Linked DNA regions of Notamacropus eugenii. The protein of the gene in region 2 purifies or fractionates together with the protein of the main gene of each other region. This does not show direct contact. Links are inferred from orthologs where the notes say so. Each region holds a gene or a part of one and is shown on either strand. Other genes may lie near its edges.

Region 1 (3,749 bases), on a different chromosome or scaffold from region 2:
ACCTGCTGCTCCTTCCTCTGAATCTTGGGACCAAGGAATACAGGTCTACCTCTTTCATGTGCCAGCTTTTCAAATACCTGAAAACAGCTATCATAACCTCCCCATTCCTTCTCTTCTAGAGGCTCTTCACCCTAAGTTGACCTCTCTTTGGGACACTTTCCCAAAGTTATCAATGTCCCTCCTAAAATGTGAAACCCTTAACTGAACACAATACTCCAGATGTGGTCTAACCACAATTTCTTCCTGTGTACTATACATTCTGAAACATAAGATCCTGTTAGCTCTCTTGGTTGCCATACCACCATACTCATGGAGAGCCTAATGTTTCAGAGTGGCAGCCAAGACAGCACTCTTGCCTTGAGAGTATCATGTTCACTTCTGGACACCACACTTTGGGAGGGACAAGGACAACCTAGAGAAACTCTGGAGACAAGTAGTCAAGATGTTGAGAAATGCTGAAACTATGTCCTGTGTGGGGCAGATGAGTGAGCTGTGCACACTTCACCTTCTGAAGAAAAGAAGCAAGTCAACAAGCTTTTATTAAGTATGAAACCCAAGTATCTATTAAAGGCTGTGCTAAGTGCTGAGGGATACAAACAAAGGCAAGGAGCTCACAAGGGGCAACATGAGAGTTATGTTCAATTATATGAAAGTGTCATATGAATGTGATTAGGTTTGTTTGTGTTGCTCAAGAGGGCAGGATTAGGGCCAATTGGATGTTACAAGAAAACATTTTGACTCAACAGAAGAAAGAATTTTCTAAAGCTATTCAATGAGGGGTACATTGTATCACATTACAGGAAATTTGCGGTCACTAAAGCATTCAAGCACAGACTGGACGACCGTCTCAGGAACACTGAAGAAACAGTATCTATATTTGAAGGTAATACGGAATACATAATTAACCTCTACGAATTTTTCACTTTCAAAATTCCAAGGCCCAAATCACTGAGCAATGTTTAAACCATTCTCACTAACTACATCTAAATCTACAAATAATTATAACCAGTATCTATCAACCAAAATTATTCTTGCCCTATTCTAACCTACCCACAAAACTCAGCACCTAGTCTCACCTCATTCTACCACAAATCTACTTCTTTTTCTAAAGAGATGCACGTTAATCTTTGATGATACTAAGAGTCCTGCTTTGCCATCCCCACCATCTGGTACTGATTTATCATACCTCTATACGTACCACAGATTCACATCCATTTTGTATCTTGGGTAACTACCTATTTTTCAAAGATTTTTTTGTGGACTATCGATTAACCATTTATTCTACTTATGAAACACACATTTGGCAAACCTTTCTTGATAGCGAACTACAGACAAGACGCTGTATGATAGGATTTTAGGGTGTAGCCTGCAAAAAAAAGCTACACAATTGATCTTGTGTTTATCCGGTGCAGTGGATGTCATCGATCTTCACTCTTTACCGGATACTAAATATCCTAACATAAATAGATACTCTGTAGCTAGACAATGGAAAGCGAAGAGAAGATAATGCACGCGCCGGGCTTTCAGAGGCTCTTCTCCACTCGCATGGGGCTTTTAATCCAATCTGGTGCCATCCTGCACTCGCCCCCCGGGGCTACCTCTTTCTAGAGTGGCAAGGAAAAACTACTGGGTTTTTGGTTTGGTTCTTCGTTTTCCAAACTGCAATGTGATTTAGGCAGAGAAATGCCCCGGAACCACGGGAGAGCAGGTGGCGAAGCACGTCGGAATCTCACTCCTCTAACTACTACAGCCCCCCTCCAGGAACAGAGGCTTTTTTAGGGTTACTCCCGGGCGGGGCAGCTGGCACGCTGGTGCACGCGAGGCCCGACGCCTGCCCCTGCAGCCCTTCCCGGTTCCTACGAGGAAAAGACCGAGGATTCTGTCCCTAAATCAGACTGGAGGCTGGCACGTCGCCATCCCATGAAAGGCGAGCACAGGAACAAAACACGAAAGGGCTGGAGGGCGGACTGCCCCCTCCCCCATCCGCCCAGATACACACGCGCACACGCACACACACACCGCAGCCCCTCCCCCTCCCCCGTTAAGCCAGCTCCGCGCGCGCCTTCCTACCGTGCAGGGCGAGGGGGAGGGGGCAGCTGCGGACACGTGGTGTGAGGGGGCGAGCCGGGCCAGGGGGGTGGGACCGGGACAGTCCGTTCCTAGCGGAACGGAGGCCACGCGGCGGCGGCCTCCTCGACGGGGTCCGCGGGCCCCTGCTGCGCGCGCGCGGCTCCGTTCCCGAATGGCGGCGCGAAGACGCAGCGACTGAGGCTGCTGCTCCGGGTGCGCGAGCGTGCGCGTGGTCGCGTGCGGGGAGGGGGGGGGGGGGAGGGCGGGGATGCCGAGAAAGGTTGGCGCCTCCACTTTCCTCCGAGGCGCGGTTTCCTCGCGTCGCCCAATCAGCGCCAGGATCCCCAGAAGCCTCCGAGGAGGGGGGAGTGGGCGGTCCTTTGAACCGGAAATGCCGTGGCGTCTCTTAGCCTCCTGCCCTCTCCCTCCCCCACCCCGCCCCCGCCGTGGCGCGCGCCCTCCTCGGACTCGGGGCTGCGGCGCGCGCTGGAAGGAGGCCCCCTAGAGGAGCCCACGACGTAGTCCGCGCTGTCCGGGGGGAGGGGCGAGGCGAGGCTCCAGGCCCCTTCTGCCAGCCTGGCCGCACCCGGGATAGGCTCGTTACTCCGCGTTATTGTTCCACCCGGGCCACTCGGCCGCGGGACGGGCACCCGGAGGCCCCCTCCCCACCCCCACCCCAGGCCCCCAGCGGTCCCCTCCCCCTCTAAGCCTTGCCCCCACCTCGGTCCGCTTCGTCCTTGGCCTCGCGCAGCGGCATTCCGATGGGGAAAACGATCTGCCAATCGCTGGGTCTACCCGAGAATTATGCAGAGTAGATGGAAGGGTACCCCAGAGGAAGCGGGGGCAGGGCGGGGGGAGAGGGGGGTGTAGGAACCCGAGAAGGCCTCCTGGGAAAGGTGGGATTTGTGCTGAGTCTTCAGAGCCACCGAAAATAATAGGCATGAGGTTCGGCCAGTGCAAAGGTCCGGAGTCGGTACATGGCTCGTTGGTGTGCGAGCAACTGCCCGTAGACCAGCGAAGCAGAATTGTAAAGTTAGTGGAGGGGAGGAAAGACGTCGACCTCTTTGTCCCGGGACAAATTCTCCGAGACTGACGAGCTGCAGATCTTAAAGGGAGGTTCGGTTTCCTTCTTTGTCTGGTCCTGTTGTTGATTGAATTCTTCCCCAAAAGCTCCCCGGTGTGTGGGTGTAAATTTTAGGGTTCACACCTGACCTGACGAAGTCATCCAGCCTCGCTCGCAGAATTTCACACATGAATAATCCAAGGTCCAGAGAGGTAGCGTGGTGGCAGAGCCAGCATTCATGTGCGTGTCTCCTAATTCCAAACATCGAAGGGTCATTAACCGTAACTCTTTGTGGGCAAGGACTGTGCCTTATATAAACTTTGTCAAACTCTTAGCCCATCTCTTTTCCTCTCCTCTCCCCACCTCCTTTTATAAGCACAGATGCCAGTGTCCTTGCAATTTGTGTGTTCATCCTTCGTTGCTGAAGAAGACCACGCCATCAAAGAAAGAATGACATGACTTTCACTGGACTTTGTTTTGAGTGAGGGAGGGCTGTGCAGGTCACCAGCCTCACTTCTCCTCCAGAGCCATCTGGGTCCAGTGACCAGATAATCCTCAGGATGACTGGAGATGTCCCAGGATGAGGCAATTGGGGTTAAGTGACTTGCCCAAGGTC
Region 2 (3,749 bases):
CTAGGTAGGTGATTCTTGGTTTTAATCCTTGCTCCTCTGCCCTTTGGAATATCATATTCCAAGCCCTTCAGTCCCTTAACGTAGGAGCTGCTAGATCTTGTGTTATTCTGATTGTATTTCCACAATATTTAAATTGTTTCTTTCTGGCTGCTTGTAATATTTTCTCCTTGTCCTGGGAAGTCTGGAATTTGGCTACTGTTCCTTGGAGTTTTCCTTTTAGGATCTCTTTCTGGAGGTGATCAGTGGATTCTTTCAATTTCTATGGTTCTAGAATATCAGAGCAGTTTTCCTTGATAATTTCGTGAAAGATGATGTCTAGGCTCTTTTTTTATCATGGATTTCAGGTAGTCCAATAATTTTTTTGATCTCTTCTGGATCTATTTTCCAGGTCAGTTGTTTTTTCAGTGAGATATTTCACATTGTCTTCTATTTTTTCATTATTTTGGTTCTGTTTTATAATTTTTTGATTTCTCATAAAGTCTTTGGCTTCCATCTGCTCCATTCTAATTTTGAAGGAATTATTTTCTTCAGTGAGCTTTTGGACCTCCTTTTCCATTTGGCCAGTCCTGCTTTTTAAAGCATTCTTCTCCTCATTGACTTTTTGGACCTCTTTTTCCATTTGGATTAGTCTGTTTTTAAAGTGTTATTTTTTTCAGTATTTGGGGGGAGGGTCTCCTTTAGCAAGCCGTTAACTTGTTTTTCATGATTTTCTTGCATTACTCTCATTTCTCTTCCTAATTTTTCCTCTACTTCTCTTACTTGATTTTCAAAATCCTTTTTGGACTTTTCCATGGCCTAATTCATATTTTTCTTGGAGGCTTTTGATGTAGAAGCTTTGACTTTGTTATCCTCTGGTTGTATGTTTTGTTCTTCATTGTCACCAAAATAAGATTCTATAGTCTGACTTTTTTCCTCTGTTTGTTCATCTTCCCAGTCAAATACTTGACTTGCTAACTCTTTGTTAAGGTAGGACTCTGTTTCTGTTAGGGGTGGGGGTGGGTGTACTGTCACAGGCTTCAGGAATTTTGTATCAGCTGCTCCATCCTCCATTGTCTGTGGGTCCAGAGCTTCCAGAAGCTGCTCCTGCCTGCACAGCCTCCTCCTCTGCCCAAGGGCTGGGACCAAATCCGAACCAGACCACACCCCTCCACCAATCAGGTCTGACAGAGTTTTCCTACTGACTTTCTATGCTGTCTTTGGCATTTGTGGGTTGAGAAGTCTGGAAACTGCCACAGCTGCCAGCAGTTTAGTCCCCTGAGGCCTGCTCCTACCTTGTCTGTCCTGGCACAGTCCACCCCAGACTGTGCTTTACCCAGCTCCCAGCTTGGTGGAACAGACGCTTCCTCTTGATCTTCCAGGCTGTCCTGGGCTAGAGATTTCCCTCACTCTGTCACTTTGTGTGTCCTGCAGCTCTAGAATTTGGGTAGAGTCATTTTTTACAGATATGTGCAGGCATTTGAGGGAAGAGCTCAAGCAGGTCTCTGCTTTCCCTCCATCATCTTTGCGATCCCATTTATTTTTGTACATTGTCAACAGTTATGGGAATGGTTTGGTGAATAAGTAAAACCTTGAAACCAATGGCTAAAATGAAGGTTTTGGATAATGTGGATTTCAGTAGTGCATGGTGATTCATATTTTTATATGAGAGCTAGCATGTCACATAAGAAATGATAGATTAAGAGTGTGAGGATATTTGTCTAGATTCCAGCTTTGCCATTTATGATCTGTGTGATCTTGGCCAAATCACTTAAACTCTCTGGACCTGTTTTCCTCATCTGTAAAATGAGGGGTTTTGGATCAATGGATCTATAAGGTACTTTCCAGCTCTAAGTCTGTGATATTATGACCATGGTTGGTTCCATATCTTGGGTCCTTAGGAAAATACAGATGATTTTCCTCTAAGTTGAATTGTGATCCTTTGATTGTAAGCGCTGTGTTTTAGCATTGCTGCTTCACTTATTTCTCATGTTTAAGGTTAAGAAATAGTAATGGGACACAAAGATCCCCTTGACATCTTTTTAAAGACACATCAATTTATCTTTTGCACTTTCCCAACAAAACACCTGTACTAACCCTTCTATGAAAATATACTTCCTGAAAAAAAGTTAGTCTTTTAGCTTCAACAGAATAATACCAAAAGAACAGTACAGTTGACCAGAGTTTTGCTGTTTCTCTACTGACATTTATATTGTAGTTGTTGTGTATGGGTTTTGGGGCTCTACTTTTTTCACTCTACATCACTTTTTATGCAGATCTTCCTGGGTTCCTCTGAATTCTTCTATTTGTCTTTCCTTGTGTTATACACATAATACCGCATTACATTGTTACCATAATGGACTGGCCCTTCTCTAGTTGTTGAGACCCAATACCTTTCATTTAAAAAAAAAAATCTATCACTTTTCAGCCCTTTCTTTTAAAAGAGCCACTCTGAATGTAGGATGGTCAAATTTAATTATTTCCATTTAAAGAAAATTTGAGCATGTTCTTATTCATGCTGTCTTAAGAAAAAAAAACAAAGAAGCCAAGCATTCTCTTGTGATAATGCAGATTCAATAAAATAAACATTTTTAAACTGTTTATGGTGGTCAAGGTACTGTCCTAGGTGCTGAGGATACAAAGGTTAAAAAGCAGAGACACATTTAAAACAGTATGAATGATTGAGATTGGACTTCTGGTTCAAACTTTGGGGAGGGCCATACAAATTTGCATAGTAGTGACTTGCTGAAAGACTAAGGTTTCTAATCAAATAGAACTGAATTCTGGCCTTTCAGAAATGAGACCTTTCCAGCTTACTGAACTCATGTTCTGAATATTTGCATGCAGCTGGTCAAGATTAAAAAAAAAAATTTGTGAAAATGCTCTACAAATATTAGTCCACAGTTGGTATTAATTATTGAAGCTTAGTAATAATAAAATCTGTTGTATCAAATTTCTGTTCACATACAGTGTGGATAAATAAGACAGGCAGAATAGTAGATAGTCTTGGACTTGCTGGGATGTGACTTTGGACAGTCTCAAAAGTTAGTCATCAAGCATTTATTAAGTCCTTATTATGTGCCAGGGACTTTGATAAGCAATGGGGACACAAAGAAAGGCAAAAACATAGCCTCTCCCCTCAAAGGAGCTCATCATGTTCTAATGAGGGAGACAACATGCAACCACTTGTGCCTGCAAGATGTATAGATACAGTGTAAATAGAAGGCAATCATAGAAGGGTGGCAATAGTAGTAGTAAGGGAGATTGATAAAGGATTCTGGCCAAAGATTTAAGCTCAGTCTTGAACCAGGAGGCAAAGGTGAGGAGGGAGAGCATTGCAGGCATGGTGGATAGCTACAAAGCAAGAAAATGTAGTGTCCTGCAAAAAAAAAAAAAAAAAAAAAAAGCAAGGTGTCCAAAGTGACTGGTTCAGAGGATACATAGATGAGAATAAAGTATAAGACTACATAGACAAGAAAGGGTCAGGTTGTAAGAGGCTTTAAAAACCAAACACTGGGTTTTAAATTTGTTCTTCTAGGTGATAAGGAACCACTAGAATTTATTGAATGTGAAGAGAGTGTGATACAGTCATAAGTGCACTTTAGGAAGATCATTTTGGAGGCTGAACTGAAATAAAGGGGGGAAGGCAGGCAGGAAGACCAGTCAGAAAGCTATTGTAATGAATAGTCCAGGTGTGAGGTAATGAGACACTGCACTGCACCAGTGTGATAACTCTGAATGGAGAAAAGATATTTATGAGAGATGCTGGGAAG

The links.
Region 1: the proteins of POGZ (region 2) and CHAMP1 purify together in Homo sapiens (affinity purification with mass spectrometry; 4 studies listed by BioGRID and IntAct, with this or other methods). This does not show direct contact. The link is inferred for Notamacropus eugenii from reciprocal best matches to the Homo sapiens genes POGZ and CHAMP1.

The regions. Positions count from the first base shown.
Region 1 is NC_092877.1:206,038,408-206,042,156, forward strand, and holds the start of CHAMP1 (chromosome alignment-maintaining phosphoprotein 1), read right to left. Parts: upstream 2,814-3,749; 5' UTR 2,791-2,813; intron 2,356-2,790; exon of another isoform or gene 2,071-2,355; intron 1-2,070. UniProt on the Homo sapiens protein: Required for proper alignment of chromosomes at metaphase and their accurate segregation during mitosis. Involved in the maintenance of spindle microtubules attachment to the kinetochore during sister chromatid biorientation.
Region 2 is NC_092873.1:305,320,666-305,324,414, reverse strand, and holds the start of POGZ (pogo transposable element with ZNF domain), read left to right. Parts: upstream 1-1,532; 5' UTR 1,533-3,749. UniProt on the Homo sapiens protein: Plays a role in mitotic cell cycle progression and is involved in kinetochore assembly and mitotic sister chromatid cohesion.